Linked DNA regions of Macaca fascicularis. The protein of the gene in region 1 interacts with the protein of each later gene in a biochemical or structural test. Links are inferred from orthologs where the notes say so. Each region holds a gene or a part of one and is shown in the gene's direction. Other genes may lie near its edges.

Region 1 (3,500 bases):
CTGGCCTGTGTTGACACAGGCCACCCTCCCCACCAGGCTGGTCCCGAGCCCCCTCCTGGCCCCCAGGCCTGGAAGACAGCTCCCTCGCTGCCTGGCCAGGCCCCCTTGTGGTTGCCAGGGCCTCGATGCTGGAATGTCAGAGGCCCCCTACTGGCCCCTCAGCCCCCTCCTGCTTTGCACAGGCTGGGCCAGAGCCTGCCAAGGAGCCCCAGCGGCTACACACTGCACTCACTCACACCTCTCAGGGCCCCGCACGTTCCCACAGCCCTCAGGGTGTATGTGCAGTAGGAATGGCTGTGCCCCACGTATGTGTTCCCCAGGTGTGTGTGCGCTCCAGGTGTGTGTGTGCCCCAGGTGTGGCTGTGCACCAGATGTGGCTGTGCCCCAGGTGTGTGTGTGCCCCAGATGTGGCTGTGCCCCGAGTGTGGGTGTGCCCCGGGTGTGGGTGTGTTCCAGGTGTGGGTGTACCCCTGGTGTGACTGTGTGCCCCAGGTGTGGCTGTGTTCCGAGTGTGGCTGTGCCCCACATGTGGGTGTGCCCCGGGTGTGACTGTGCCCCAGATGTGGGTGTGCCCTGGGTGTGACTGTTCTGGGTGTGGCTGTGCCCCACATATGTGTGTGCCCCGGGTGTGGGTGTGCTCCAGGTGTGGGTGTGCCCCAGATGTGGGTGTGCCCTGGGTGTGGGTGTGCACCAGGTTTGGGTGTGCACCAGGTGTGGGTGTGCACCAGGTATGGTGTGCCCCAGGTGTGGCTGTGCCCCAGGTGTGGCTGTGCCCCGGGTGTGACTGTGCACCAGGTGTGGTGTGCCCCGGGTGTGGTGTGCCCCAGGTGTGGCTGTGCACCAGGTGTGGCTGTGCCCCCAGGTGTGCGTGTGCCCCCAGGTGTATTTCCCAGGTACTCAGGGTGAGATTGGGAAAATAGCAGGACATTTCTACACTAGGTGGGACAAGCTGCTTTCTGGGGTGGCCCCCTCATGCCAGCCCCTCTGTGGGATCTCCATATCCCTCATCCTCTGAGACCTGGTGCACGGTGGGGCTCAGTGACTGAAGGAAGGGGACTGTAGGAGGGGACGATGCGGGGGGGTTGACCTGACCTTGGGCCAGATGCCCTTTGGGGCTGCCTCAACCTGGAATAGAGTGTCTGAGCTGGAATGGGGGTCCTAGCCCCACTCTATGAGGCGAGAAACTGAGGCTTGGAGAGAGGAGGAGGTGGGGCTTCCTAGGACTTGTGGGTGGTATGCAAGGGGAGCTGGCTGGTGCGGTGGGGACTGTGGTGAGGGCCCTGGGAGGGGCAGGGGGATGCATGCAGACAGAGGCTCTGCTTGCCCACAGAGTGCCAGCTGATGAAGACGGAGCGGCCCCGGCCCAACACCTTCATCATCCGCTGCCTGCAGTGGACCACTGTCATCGAACGCACCTTCCACGTGGAGACTCCCGAGGAGCGGTACGTGGGCTGCGGCGGCCAGGCCGGGCACTTGGGCAGCCCTAGCGCTTAGGAGGGACATGGGGATGGCGGGTGCTGGGCGCCTCTGCCTATAGCCATCCTTACTCCCCAGTGATCCCAGGCCCTCCCCAGAGCCCGGTTTGGAAACTGGCCCAGTCCTGTGGGGTTGGGTGGGGAAACTGAGGCTGGAGATAAAAACTGTCTAGGGACCGGGCACAGTGGCTGACATCTATAATCTTGGCATTTTGGGAGGCTGAGATGGGCAGATCACTTGAGACCAGGAGTTCAAGACCGGCCTGGCCAACATGGTGAAACCCCCGCCTCTACTAAAAATATAAAACTTAGCTGGGTGTGGTGGTGCACACCTGTGATCCCAGCTACTTGGGAGGCTGAGGCACAAGAATTGCTTGAACCCAAGAGGCGGAGGCCGCAGTGAGCCGAGATTGTACCAGTGCACTCCAGCCTGGGTGATAGAGCAAGCCTGGGGGGCGGAGTCCTGCTGTGGGCCTGGGTCCTGCTGGGGGTTGGAGTTTGCCTGTGGGGACAGAGCCCTGCTGGGGGCTTGAACCCTACTTGGGGGCTAAGCCTGCGTGTCCCTCAGGTCCAGAAGGGCTTTCTGACCCTGAGTGTGTGTGGCCAGCCCAGGTCAAGGGGTGGCCTCCTCAGGGCTGTCTCTGGGGACCCCGCTTGTGAGGCTGGAGGGTGGGTGTAAGCTGTGGGGTGGAGCTCCTGACCTCATGGGGTGAGGTGCAGGGCTACAGCCTCACCTGACCTCCTGCAGGGAGGAGTGGACAACCGCCATCCAGACAGTGGCCGATGGCCTCAAGAAGCACGAGGAGGAGATGATGGACTTCCGGTCGGGCTCACCCAGCGACAACTCAGGGGCTGAAGAGATGGAGGTGTCCCTGGCCAAACCCAAGCACCGTGTGGTAAGGCCTGTCCCCCTTTCTGCCTATGCCTGGGGCTACCTTGGGCTGTGGAGAGCTGGGTGGGTCATGGGGTCCCAGCTTGGCCCAGGAGACACTCAGCACTCCACAGCATCCCCATCTAGGCCGGTTTTCCATGTGGGGCGCAGCTGCTTCCCAGGTGGGTCCTCTTCCCTATGTCAGAGAAATAGTGGGGCTGCTGAGCCCTGCCAGGCTTGGGCAGTGTTACCCCACCCTTCCCCGAACCCCACGCTCTGAGCTAGGGCTGCACCGTGTGTTCCCTGTAAGTCCGGACTCCCCGCTGAGCCCCGCAGGCCACCAGGTGTGAAGCGGTCGCCTCTCCTGGCTCCGCCTCCAAGTCTGCCAAGGGTGACTCTGGGGCCCCCATGCCACCTGACACATGCCGACCAGCTGGGCACTGTGGGCAGCGCCCCCCGCTGACCCTGGTGCCTGCCCACAGACCATGAACGAGTTTGAGTACCTGAAGCTGCTGGGCAAGGGCACTTTCGGGAAGGTGATCCTGGTGAAGGAGAAGGCAACGGGCCGCTACTATGCCATGAAGATCCTCAAGAAGGAGGTCATCGTGGCCAAGGTGGGGCCGGGGTGGTGGGGCAGGGTGGAGACGAGGATGCTGGGCGGCAGCTCACCCAGCCCTGCCTTACAGGACGAGGTGGCCCACACACTCACCGAGAACCGTGTTCTGCAGAACTCCAGGCACCCCTTCCTCACGGTGAGTGGGAGCCCAGATGGGGCTGAAGGGCTGGGGTCAGGTGGCGACTCCTGGGGCTGTCTCTAGGGAACGATGTCCTGTCTTCTTGGGCACGTGAGGACTTTACGCACTGCGGATTCTGCCGCTGGTGACAGGCCTGCCCCGGAGGGTCAGGCTGTGGAGGTGCCCGATGTGGGCTGGGGGCTGTGCTCGCCGCTCCTGTGTGCAGGCAGGTGGGGCAGGTGGCCCTGGTCGTCTTTGCACTCTGCCGAGGCTCCGGGAGGCCCCAGCTCCCCATGCCCTGCAGCCCTGCCTGCCAGGCTTCTGTTGAGGCCCGGGCTCTGTCCTGGGGAGCCCGTTGTGGGGACTCGACCCAGGAGGTATTTACTGTGAAGGGGGCCAGACTCCAGCCACGTGGTTAGT
Region 2 (4,161 bases), on another chromosome or scaffold:
TCTGCATCTATAAAATGGGGATAATAGTTGTACCTACTTCATGGGGTTGAATTGAGGAGTAAATGAGGAGTAAATGAACTAATGTTCGTAAAGCAATTTGCACAAAGACTGGCACATAATAAGGGCTCCATAAATTTTATCCATAATTACCAGACATGTTTCTTAGAACGGTAACCTTGTTGGCAGCTCTGAATATAAACTGTAGTGAGGAAAAGACTGATGGAAGGAGATCCAATACTGCACCTTTTTTTTTTTTTTTTTTTTTTTTTGACAGGGTGTTATTCTGTCACCCAGGCTGGAGCACAGTGGCATGATCTTGGCTCACTGTAACCTCCACCTCTTGGGCGACTCTCCCACCTCAGCCTCCTAAGTAGCTGGGACTACAGGCGCATGCCCCACACCAGGCTAATTTTTCTATTTTTAGCAGAGATCGGTTTCACCACGTTGGCCAGGCTGGTCTTGAACTCCAGACCTCAAGTGATCCGCCTGCCTCGACCTCCCAAAGTGCTGGTATTACAGGCGTAAGCCACTGCACCCAGCTGATCCTACAATTTAAATGCAGTTATAAATAGGTCTTGAACTGGGATTTGGATGTAGAAAGTTACGGAGATGAAGAGGTAACGGGTAAGTCTAGCTTGGGAGACTGGGTAGATCAGGACTACCATAAGCCAAATTCAGAGATAAGGGTAGCCAGAGGATAGGGGTATGGGTGCAGGAATAGATAATGAGTTTGGGACCTGTTGAATGAAAGTGAAGCCGTTGGAGATGTGAACCTGGAGAATATCAGTGTTGAAGGGAAGGCCAGAAGAGCCAGTGGAGGAAACTGATTGGTAAGTAAGACCTCACTGTAGGTGGGAACTGCATATGGGGGGATGAAGGCGGGTGGAGGGAGGAGGAAGGGGGTGAGGGGGAACACCACCGTGGGCTAACCATTTGTTTATGTTACACAAGCCCCTCCACCCAACTCTCCAACGTGCATACATCCTATGTTCTAGTCAGTTCCTTGCTTCTTGCTTCTTGGCCTCCTGCTTCTTGAAGAGAAGATTTTTTTCCCTTTTGCCTTCTCCTAAATGAAGGAGGGAAAGGGCTAGCACCTCTCAATCTGGTCACCTAGGCGACTCCGAATCACAAGGGAGACGATGGAAAGGGGGAAAGGGCGAAAAACGATTCTTAAGAAAAGAAAGAGTCCACGACGACTTCTAATAATTAAAGTTCCACCTCGTTATATCCTGCCACGCCGCTCTCCTGCCGCCGTATCGGGCTCCTGGCCGCGAAGCAGGACGGGAGATGTAGTCCTCAAGAGTGACCAGGGTGGCACGACTGAAGAACTCGGTTTCCCGACTGGCTTTCGAGGCGCGTGCGCAGATGGCTGCCCCGGCGAGTGGTAAACAGAGACGTCAGGAGGGGGCTGCTGCTTGGAGCAAAACAAAAGGGAAACCCGGGGGGCGGGGGGTGGGGGGGGTTGATAGGGGAATCGGTGCGGGAATTAGGGAGGCCGCAGCCGCGGGGACCCGGACCCGATTAAGAGTGGCGAGAAGGGAAGAGGCGGGGGAAGGGGGAGTCAGGGGAGGGGCAAGTGACGCGGGGGAGCGGGGCGTGGGGGAGGGCAGCAATCCGGGTGGAGGAAATTTGGGAGGAGTGTCCGGGGGGCAGCAACTTAAAAGGGGGAGGGAACTGCGGCTAAGGAGACGTTCGGTGATGGGAGCGCAATGTATGAGGGGATACCGTGCCTCAGGTTTAAAAGAGCAGGAAGCTAAGTGAGAGGTTGCAGAAAAAGTGTTTTCGCTCGGCAGAGGTTACAGGTGGCATCTCGGAAAGAGCTCTGAGGCTGCAGGCTGTAGTCGCGAAGGGGATCGGAGAACTGTGTGAAGGGACAGCTTAGGGACTAGCGTCCTGGGACTAGGGGGAAGTTCGCGACTTTCTGAGGACTGGCAGGAATGTGCCTCCTGGCCCTCGATGCTTCCCCCCTGAGGGGAGGCATCGTGAGGGACTGTGGCAGGCTTCACTGAACGCTGAGCCGGGGAGGTCCAACTCCACGTATGGATCCGGGGAATGAGAATTCAGCCACAGAGGCTGCCGCGGTCATAGACCTCGATCCCGACTTCGAACCCCAGAGCCGTCCCCGCTCCTGCACCTGGCCCCTTCCCCGACCTGAGATCGCTAACCAGCCGTCCGAGACGCCCGAGGTGGAGCCAGGTCTGGGGGAAAAGGTACACACGGAGGGGCGCTCAGAGCCGATCCTGTTGCCCTCCCGGCTCCCAGAGCCGGCCGGGGGCCCCCAGCCCGGAATCCTGGGGGCTGTAACAGGTCCTCGGAAGGGAGGCTCCCGCCGGAATGCCTGGGGAAATCAGTCATATGCAGAACTCATCAGCCAGGCCATTGAAAGCGCCCCGGAGAAGCGACTGACACTTGCCCAGATCTACGAGTGGATGGTCCGTACTGTACCCTACTTCAAGGACAAGGGTGACAGCAACAGCTCAGCAGGATGGAAGGTAATTATGACCCTCTTACCTTCTTCCCAACACCATCTAGCCCCTGGATTCCCTAGCCTCCCTTACTTCTACTCTGGGGCCCCTTTTACTACCTCCCACCCCCACCCCCTTTGGGAAGCCCAGAGATCCACCTTCAATCTCCAGTTAGACAAACATTTACTTAGTACATAGTATATGCCACACTCGGTGCTTGATGCTGAAGGATCACAGATGAATAAGACACTGTCCCTGCCCTGGAGAAAATCGAATTCTCTGCTCACTGCTCAACACTCGCAGCACTTTGGCTTGGGCTGCCCCAAACACTTATTCCCACAGAGAAGTCTTTATCCTATGTACAGCAGGAACTGTGTGGATTCTCCACATGAACCTACCCTTCCCTCCTCCCCCACCTCCCACCCCAACACCTTTTCTCCCATTCCTGTGGGATTACTTGGATTCCCTGCTTGCCTCCCAATACCTCAGTGTAGTGGTACTGTTCTAGCACTGCTCTACCTGGGAGGAGGGAGTGCAGTGGCAAAGGGTGAAAACAATAATATTCATGGGGAAAGGTAGCTGATCTTATGCACTAAGAAGAGAAAGGGCTGTGAGCTGCCACCTGTCTCAGTTTACCCTGTGCTGCCAAGAAACTCTCCCTTGTAAGGGGCTATCCAAGTTTTGGGGGGAAGTCATCCTTTACTGTTAAGGAATATTAGTCATAAAGAGGAGGTAGGGCTCTGACTTTAGAGCATGAAGTTGGGAGTTCCCTTGGCCTTCCGTGAAGAAACTGTGAGGGAAGATCTCAAAAGATACTCTGAAAAACTTGTCCTGAGAAATATGGGGCTCTAATCACAAAATTGGGGAGCTTCAAGCCCTATTGCTGGCTTGTACCTCTGTAGGTGGTGAGGTCAGCATATAACCAAGTACAGAGGGTTGGATGAGCAGAGGAACTTCCCCTAGGTATAGGAGACTGAGGGATCAGATCTGTGCCGTCCCTAGGGGCTGGGCAGAACAGAAGACAGGACAGCTGACTGAGACCCTTGGCACTATTTCTGGGTAGACTGCCACGCCACAGTCTCAGCTCATAAAAAGCTCAACTCCTTGGACCCAGCCTACACAGCTGTTTTTCTTTTCCCTTAGGTTCATTTTCCAGTGTAGAGGAAATAACAAGTTGTTAGTTATATTGTGGGAGTATCGTCCGTCCTTATAATCTACACTTATGTGGGGCTTTAGAGTTTACAAAGTAGTTTTTAAATTTTTTATTTTATTAATCTTTACAGCAATTCTGAGATTCCACATTTTACGCATTAGGAAACTACGTACCGAAAGGTTAGGAAACTCACCTAATAACAGCAGGGTGAGGACTTGAACTCAGGTCTAACTATAAATCATACTCTCTAAGAAGAGCCTGGCTTGCTCTAATTGGAATGATGGCAAAATCAAATCAGGCTGAGCCTGGGACTTCAAGGCCCACCCCCGCCCCCGGCCCCCGCCCCCGGCCCCCGCCCCCCTCTGAGGGAAGTCTCATGCCTGAACTGGCCTCCCTGATGATATGCCAAGGTTACTCCCACCCCACCAGGGGGCGGCACTCACTTAGAACAAGAAAGTTTAGATTAGGTGGTTTGGGGAGCAATTAGCAGTCACCCCTACCACCCTGCCCTCCAACATGTAAGAGTTATGGGCTTTTGGGAAA
Region 3 (4,050 bases), on another chromosome or scaffold:
TGGCCCCACTGATCCTCGACAGGATGTCCTGGACCTGCAGCTCAGACGAGGAAAGGTGGGGTGTGGGTGGGGGGTTGGTTGACGCACACAGCAAGTAGCCTCAAGGAACTTGGGGATGGGGCAGGCTGCGCCCCAAGGCTTTGGTCCTATCCCCCGCCCTTGCGTTTTAACTTAACACCCGATCACTTCCGTTGTAAATAAAAAAGAAATAACAAACAGTTAAATTTAATTAGGGGTAAGTAATAAAGTGACCTGGTTCTCGCTAACTGCGCTCCTGAGCCCTTCGCTGCCGGCCCTGGACTCAGTGGACGAAGCGGGAGATTCCCGCCCAGGGGAAGAGGTTCCCACGGAGGGCATGCGGTCGCGGGTGCCTTTGGATCCGTGTGTGCGGGGAGGCGGGAGAATCTCCTCCTCGCGCCGGGGCCCCTGTTCCTCATTTCTAGCCTTTTAAAAAAGATCAAGAATACAGTGAATCCGGTTGGGGGCTGCCCGGCTGGGTGACGCGCCTCTGGCTAGACCGAATGGCACAGGTTGAGCCTGGGGGTGCGGACAGGTGGGCACCGGGCGCGGAGAAGGGTCTCTCAGCGCGGACTCGACTGCAGGACCCGCGGCGCCAGGGGCGGTGGTCGTGTGCAGCCCGTGAGCGGGCCGGAGGACTTGACAGATCGCAGCGAAAGAAAACACTAAACCAAAACAAAATCCACCGATTCCCCACGTCGTTTAGCAAAGACATCGTGGGTGGAGCCAGGAGGGAACGATTGAGTAGAATTCCGCGCGGCCGCCTCCACCCACCCACCCCGCGCCCCGGGTCCCCGGCCCCCTGCCCTGTCCGCCCGCCGGGCTGGGCCCGCAGCAGAGGTCAAGGCGCAGCGAGCGCCTCCTCCCACCCGGGCTTCCAGAGTACTCGGCTCTGCTCCTCCGTAGTAAACAAAGTGTCGCCGCCGCCTCCACGCTGCTTTGCTTCCTAGCAATCAAAACACTGAGAAGGCGAGAGAATCACAGAAACACTCGAGAATTACCAGAAAATAATAGAGATCCAAAAAAAAAAAAAAAAAAGGAGATGAGTGTGTGAAAGAGAAAAACACCCTACTACCCCCCACCAGCCCACCGCCGCCTCCCCGTGGAAAACCGGGCCCCGCCCAGCCCGGCGCCCACTGGCTGCCCAGGCGGCGGTGCCGCATGCCCATTGGCCGCGCGGGCTGTCGGTCAGGGGCGGGCCGGCGCGCGCGCCGGCGCGGGCGGGGAGCGGCGGCAGATCCCGTAAGTCGGGCGGCCTAGTAGTCGCAGCAGCCGCTGCTGCCGCCGCCACATTCAACAGGCAGCAGCGCAGCGGGCGCGCAGCCGGGGAGAGCGAGCGGCCCGCGGCATCCGTCTGTCCTTCCGTCCGCGGCCCTGTCAGCTGGAGCGCGGCGCAGGCTCTGCCCCGGCCCGGCGGCTCTGGCCAGCCGTCCAGTCCGTGCGGCGGACCCTGAGGAGCCTCGATGTGGATGGCCCGGCGAAGTTAAGTTCTGGGCTCGCGCTTGCACTCCGCCGCGCTTTCCTCCCAGTTTCCGTCCGCTCGCCGCACCGGCTTCGTTCCCCCAAATCTCGGACCGTCTCTTCGCGCCCCCTCCCCCTCCGGCCCCCGTGCTGCGTTCTCCCCTTCTTGGCTCTCCCGCGGCTGGGGGAGGGGCGGGGGTCACCATGGCCGAAGCGCCTCAGGTGGTGGAGATCGACCCGGACTTCGAGCCGCTGCCCCGGCCGCGCTCGTGCACCTGGCCGCTGCCCAGGCCGGAGTTTAGCCAGTCCAACTCGGCCACCTCCAGCCCGGCGCCGTCGGGCGGCGCGGCTGCCAACCCCGACGCCGCGGCGGGCCTGCCCTCGGCCTCGGCTGCCGCTGTCAGCGCCGACTTCATGAGCAACCTGAGCTTGCTGGAGGAGAGCGAGGACTTTCCGCAAGCACCCGGCTCCGTGGCGGCGGCGGTGGCGGCGGCGGCCGCCGCGGCCGCCACCGGGGGACTGTGCGGGGACTTCCAAGGCCCGGAGGCGGGCTGCCTGCACCCAGCGCCGCCGCAGCCCCCGCCGCCCGGGCCGCTGTCGCAGCACCCGCCAGTGCCCCCCGCTGGCGCTGGGCCTCTCGCGGGGCAGCCGCGCAAGAGCAGCTCGTCCCGCCGCAACGCGTGGGGCAACCTGTCCTACGCTGACCTCATCACCAAGGCCATCGAGAGCTCGGCGGAGAAGCGGCTGACGCTGTCGCAGATCTACGAGTGGATGGTCAAGAGCGTGCCCTACTTCAAGGATAAGGGTGACAGCAACAGCTCGGCGGGCTGGAAGGTGAGCGGTCTCGGCGCGCGGCCGGACCTTGGGGGCGCGGTGGGTCAGGCGAGGGCGCAGCTGTGCAGGTTTGCTCGGCCTGAAGGTGCGGGCCAGGAGGGCAGCGCGTTCCCAGGAGGGCGGGCGAGAAGCGGTGGTCGCGGTGACCTCGCCCAGGTCCGGTCGGGGACGGCAGTAGGTGTGCGCGCGCGCCAGTCAAGAGTTCGCGTGGGACGCGAAAAGGGGCTCGTCGAGGAACTAAGTAAAGAAAGTGCGCCAAGAAGTGGATATCAGCGGCCGAAAAGTTTGCCAGTGAAAGGAGAAACGGGTTCGCTGGGAGGGGCACTCCCCCGGCCCGCGCTGACTGCTTCGACTGCCCCTTCCCTCCCGGACCTCCGCGGGGGGAGGGCAGGTCCTCTCCGGCCGCGCTGCGGAGCTGTTTCCGCCGGGCGCGGCGGGGGAGGGCGCGGCGAGGGGCCCCGGACTCTCCCTGTCCCGGGACCGGGCTGCAGGTGGAGGGGACAGGCAGGGCGCGACCGGCCGTGGACGGTGCAGGGCCAGCCGGGCAGTTTCTGGAGGCGGTGCGCATTTTGCTTTGTTTTGGTTTTCTCTGGAGTGGCCTCGAGTGCCGGGGGCCGGGCGTCCCGAGCCCGAGGTGGTGCCTCCGACACGTGCGAAGGGGCGGCCACCGCCTGCGGAGCGCCGGCGCCTGGCTGCGCTGGGCGAGCTAAAGTTCAAGTGTGACCCTCGGCGGGGGCGGGCGCGGGCGGTGGCGATGGCGTGGGAGGGGCCCCGGGCGCAGGAAGCCCGCGCCTTTAAAGGGCCAGCGCGTCCGGGCCGGGAGCCGTGGGGCCAGCGTTTCTCCACGAGGGGAAGCGCCCGAACTTGGTCTTGCCCCTGGTAGGAGGCTTTTATTGAGAAACACAGAGGCTGCCCTGGGGGGCCGGGGGCTGGGAAGTGTGCGTCTTTTCCTGCCTTGCCACCCTGTTCTTGAGAATGGAGGTCCAGATGAGGGACCAGGCGGGGGGCTTTGCGACCAATTTTTTGAGGGAGTCGGAGTGGCGATGGGCGTCGAGGGAGCGATGCCTCAAAGGAGGATTTTTGCCATTTTTGCCTTATAGAGAGTGGCCAGTAGAGACTTAGCGTGGGGGCAGGTATTTCCCGACTCCGAGGAGAAGGCCCGGGGCGGGGGGGTGGCCTCGGCCCCGGGGAGGCTTCCCGGGGGCGGGGTCCAGTCGCCGCGCGGCCTCCCCAAGCTGACAGTTTCTCACTGTCACCGGTGGCGGAATTGCTGTAAAGGCTGTCTAGTTGAGCTAAACACCTTTTTTTTTTTTTTTTTTCATCCCCGCTCTGAGACGGAGTCTCGTTCTGTCGCCAGGCTGGAGTACCGTGGCGCGATCTCGGTTCATTGCAACTTCCGACTCTCTGGTTGAAGCGATTCTCCTGCCTCAGCCTCCCGACTAGCTGGGATTACAGGCAAGAGCCACCACGCCCAGCTAATTTTGGTGTTTTTAGTAGAGACGGAGTTTCACCGTGTTGGCCAGGATGTTCTGGATCTCCTGACCTCGTGATCCGCCCGCCTCGGCCTCCCAAAGTGCTGGGATTACAGGCGTGAGCCCCTGCGCCCGGCCGAGCTAAACATCTTTTTAAACAAACCTTTCCTTGCCTCTCATATTGACTCCACAGCATAATAAAAGATTGGTCTTAGCTGCGCAGTTGTTAACACCAAGGTTATTTTACATACAGTGTCATCCCTGT
Region 4 (4,015 bases), on another chromosome or scaffold:
CTACTAAGAGCTATTTTAAAATAGAATTTATCTAGGTACAGTAAGGTATAATTATCCCCCTACACCCGTTATAACCCTTGATGACACTAAATAAATAATACACGAATATGGTTCAAAAATGGGCATCGTAGAGTATAAAATGAAGAATGCTTTCATTTTCCACCCAAATTCAGCAATTTCATAGGATGCCAGGCTCCATTCTAAAGCCTTGTATGTATTCAGTGCGCTGAAATTCAACAACCTCACGAGGTAGGTATAACCATTAATATTAATTCTAGGCGGGGCGTGGTGGCTCACGCCTGTAATCCCAGCACTTCGGGAGGCCGAGGCGGGCGGATCACCTGAGGTGGGTAGTTCGAGACCAACCTGACGAACATGGAGAAACCCCGTCTCTACTAAAAATACAAAATTAGCCGGGCGTGGTGGCGCATGCCTGTTATCCCAGCTACTCGGGAGGCTGGCGCAGGAAAACCCGGGAGGCGGAGGTTGCAGTGAGCCGAGATCGCGCCATTGCACTCCAGCCTGGGCAACAACAACGAAACTCCGTCCCCCACCACTCCCCCCCAAAACATAATGATTCTAAAGGGAAGCAGAGGGATCTGGCGGAAAAGTGCCAGCAAATCTAACAGGCCTCCACAAGAGTCTTGAAAGTTTGAGAAGCTTAGGGGTCGCTATATGTGATTAACTGTCAAACAAGAATATTCGCCGGGTGTCCGAAACGCGATCCCCTGGGGCGCCACACTCGGAGCCTACTTGAACCCAAAGAGTCCCTCCCTGGGCCAACGAGGGACCCAATTCCCGCGCCCGGCATCCAGCCTCTACGTGGTTTCCTAGGAAAGGATAGCGGAGGTCCGCCGCCTCAACCAGTCTTGTTAGAGTGGCACAAAAGCGTTCGGAGTGACTGCCACTGTAGCCACTCAACGCCGAGCCCAGGCCTGCTTTTTTTGCGGTTAGAGTGAAACTTTCCATTGGTGGAGTCACCCCGAAGGAGGCGGGACGGAGGGGGAAAGTCCTGCCTACCTTGGTCTTCCCAGCCAATCGCAGCATCCAGGTCGCAGAACCCAGGCGGTAGCCTCCGGTTCGGTTGCGCTGTGCGTAGTGGTCTGGGAGACCTGAGGGCGGGGCCGGGAGCAGGCCCCGGACTGCGGGGAGGGTACGCTTCCCGCGGGCGCGCGGAGTGAGGACGGTGACAGCCACGCGCGCGCATACGCGCCCGACTGCAGCGCGGCCCCGCGACCCTAGTCGGCAGCTGAGAGGCGCGCAGAATCTGGGCCGCTGCCGTCTAGGGTTCCCGTCCCGAGGCGTCCCCGGCATCTCCGGCCTGAATCCCGGAGTGCCAGGTCGCGCCTGCACCGACGGTCCCGACTCCCGTGCCCTCCCAGGAGCCGTCAGGGCCCGCCCCTCAACTCCCCTTTCCGCCCGGGCAGGGTCCTCGCGGCCCATGCTGGCCGCTGGGGACCCGCGCAGCCCAGACCGTTCCCGGGCCGGCCAGCCGGCCACCATGGTGGCCCTGAGGCCTGTGCAGCAACTCCAGGGGGGCTAAAGGGCTCAGAGTGCAGGCCTTGGGGCGCGAGGGTCCCAGGCCTGAGCCCCGAGCCATGGCTGGGGCCATCGCTTCCCGCATGAGCTTCAGCTCTCTCAAGAGGAAGCAACCCAAGACGTTCACCGTGCGGATCGTCACCATGGACGCCGAGATGGAGTTCAATTGCGAGGTAACCGGCCGGCAGCCCCGACTGCTGCGGTGACAGTCGAGGTGGAAACTCGAGAGGTTCTCTTTATATCATCTTAATGGGTGTAGCTAGAGACGGGCAGAACCGGAAGGGGCCAACTAGGCCCAAAACCTCATGTTAAAGATGATTGCTGCTTTTTTTCATAGGGCTTTTGGGTTTTAGCATTTCCTGAAGGTTATTTTCATTCATTGTTATTGGAAGAAGCTGGATGCTCCTGTGATAGAAAATTCCGGATTTCAGTGTCAGGCTTAAGTTAGGCTTACGCTTAAACGCTTGAAAGTTCTTTCATTAGGTAATATTGTTATGTACCCAGGTATTAGAAGTTGCGTCTTGTTTATTGGAAAGCCAATACTTGTTTTCCTTTTCTAAAGCCTACATATTCTGGAAAAAAACCCTTTGAAGAACGATATAATATCTCATACTTACTTTCCACATAGTTTCCAACATGATGATTAACAGCTATCAATTGTTCAGTATTTTCAAAGTGCCAGACATTTGCACATTTAATCCTCAGAACAAACCCATTTATCTAGTAAATGGCAAGGTGGGGTTTTGAACTAAGCTCACAGCCAGTACAGTACTGCTTCTCAAGTAATTTAAGTTCTTGCTACTAAAGGTGTGGTTTGTGGACCAGCAGCATTGGCAGCAGTAACCAAGGGTTGGCAAGCTTTTTCTGTACAGGACCACATAGTAAATATTTTCAACTTTGTAGACTAGAGAATCTCTGTTGGAGCTATTCAGCTCTTCAGCTCTGTCATTGTAACACAAAAGCAGCCTTAGATAAGATCAGCTTCCAGCTTGACAGCTTAAGGAACCCATTCCTCTGTAAAACTGGTGAAAATTCTTTTTTGTTTTGTTTCATTTTGAGACAGAGTCTCACTCTGCCACCCAGGCTGGCATGCAGTAGTGTGATCATGGCTCACTGCAACCCCCACCGACCTCTGTGGCTCAATCAGTCCTCCTGCCTTGGCCTCCTGAGTAACTGGGACCACAGGTGTGTGCACCACACCTGGCTAATTTTTTTTTTTTTTTGAGACGTCTCGCTCTGTCACCCAGAGTGCACCGGGCTGGAGTGCAATGGCGCGATCTCGGCTCACTGCCAACTCCACCTCCCAGGTTCAAGCAGTTCTCTTGCTTCAGCCTTCCAGGTAGCTGGGATTACAGGCATGTGCCATCACGTCTGGCTAATTTTTCTATTTTTAGTAGAGACAGGGTTTCAACATATTGGGCAGGCTGATCTCGAACTCCTGACCTCATGACCAGCCCACCTGGGCCTCCCAAAGTGGTGGGAAAGTGGTGCTATTACAGGTGTGAGCCACCGCGCCCAGCCTCACCTAGCTAATTTTTGTAGAGACAAGGATTTTGCCATGTTGCCTAGGCTGATCTTGAACTCCTGACCTAAAGCAATCCGCTGGCCTTGGACTCCCAAAGTGATGGGATTACAGACGGAGCCACCATGTCTGGCCCAAAAATTCTTTTTTTAAAATCAACTATTTAAACCCTCCGGCAATGGTCCTGAGGGCAAACAACAAATGAAACACCTATTCAAGAAAATCTACAAATTCGGTAAGAAAGATGAGAGGATATGGTATTTGAACCAAGATCATTCCCTCCTTACCCACTCCTAGCTTAGTGAGGTAGAGCTTCTACTCCAGACTATTGCAAACTGAAACACGGGGCACCGCTCCCTCAGCTCCCAAATCAAATGCTTTCTTCCCAGGAAAAGCTGGACATCAGCATTTCTTATCATACCCAGAGCTACTTGTTGCTGAGGTTAAAACCTGTGTGAGTGCAATTGAAAGTTGGAGCTCCCTTTTTTTTTTCTTTTGAGACGGAGTTTTGCTCTTGTTGCCCAGGCTGGAGCGCAATGGTACGATCTCGCCTCACCGCAACCTCCGCCTCCCAGGTTCAAGCGATTCTCCCACCTTAGCCTCCCGAGTAGCTGGGATTGTAGGCTTGCCCCACCACGTCTGGCTGATTTTGTGTTTTTAGTAGAGATGGGTTTCTCCATGTTGGTCAGGCTGGTCTTGAACTCCTGACCTCAGGTGATCTGCCTGCCTCGGCCTCCCAAAGTGTTGGGATTACAGGCGTGAGCCACCGTGCTTGGCTAAAGTTGGAGCTCCCTTCTTCCACCTAGTCCCTACTTGTGGAACAGGATTGTACCTTGGGCATGGCATACTGAAACTACTGGCGCCCCAATTGCTCATCCACCAGTTCTAGCAGGCTGAGCCTCAGGTTGTTGCGGTCCCCTGCCTCCTTCCACCAAGTGCTCAGTTTCTAGAGTG

Evidence for each region.
Region 2: the proteins of AKT1 (region 1) and FOXO4 form a complex in vitro, tested with the Homo sapiens proteins (2 studies listed by BioGRID, with this or other methods). The link is inferred for Macaca fascicularis from reciprocal best matches to the Homo sapiens genes AKT1 and FOXO4.
Region 3: of the proteins of AKT1 (region 1) and FOXO1, one has a biochemical effect on the other in vitro, tested with the Homo sapiens proteins (4 studies listed by BioGRID). The link is inferred for Macaca fascicularis from reciprocal best matches to the Homo sapiens genes AKT1 and FOXO1.
Region 4: the proteins of AKT1 (region 1) and NF2 form a complex in vitro, tested with the Homo sapiens proteins (2 studies listed by BioGRID, with this or other methods). The link is inferred for Macaca fascicularis from reciprocal best matches to the Homo sapiens genes AKT1 and NF2.

The regions. Positions count from the first base shown.
Region 1 is NC_088381.1:172,969,169-172,972,668, reverse strand, and holds part of AKT1 (RAC-alpha serine/threonine-protein kinase), read left to right. Parts: intron 1-1,330; coding exon 1,331-1,442; intron 1,443-2,223; coding exon 2,224-2,371; intron 2,372-2,828; coding exon 2,829-2,960; intron 2,961-3,032; coding exon 3,033-3,098; intron 3,099-3,500. UniProt on the Homo sapiens protein: AKT1 is one of 3 closely related serine/threonine-protein kinases (AKT1, AKT2 and AKT3) called the AKT kinase, and which regulate many processes including metabolism, proliferation, cell survival, growth and angiogenesis.
Region 2 is NC_088395.1:77,796,391-77,800,551, forward strand, and holds the start of FOXO4 (forkhead box protein O4), read left to right. Parts: upstream 1-1,361; 5' UTR 1,362-2,039; coding exon 2,040-2,492; intron 2,493-4,161. UniProt on the Homo sapiens protein: Transcription factor involved in the regulation of the insulin signaling pathway. Binds to insulin-response elements (IREs) and can activate transcription of IGFBP1.
Region 3 is NC_088391.1:20,066,354-20,070,403, reverse strand, and holds the start of FOXO1 (forkhead box protein O1), read left to right. Parts: upstream 1-1,250; 5' UTR 1,251-1,683; coding exon 1,684-2,313; intron 2,314-2,550; exon of another isoform or gene 2,551-4,050. UniProt on the Homo sapiens protein: Transcription factor that is the main target of insulin signaling and regulates metabolic homeostasis in response to oxidative stress.
Region 4 is NC_088384.1:22,072,995-22,077,009, reverse strand, and holds the start of NF2 (merlin), read left to right. Parts: upstream 1-1,215; 5' UTR 1,216-1,598; coding exon 1,599-1,712; intron 1,713-4,015. UniProt on the Homo sapiens protein: Probable regulator of the Hippo/SWH (Sav/Wts/Hpo) signaling pathway, a signaling pathway that plays a pivotal role in tumor suppression by restricting proliferation and promoting apoptosis.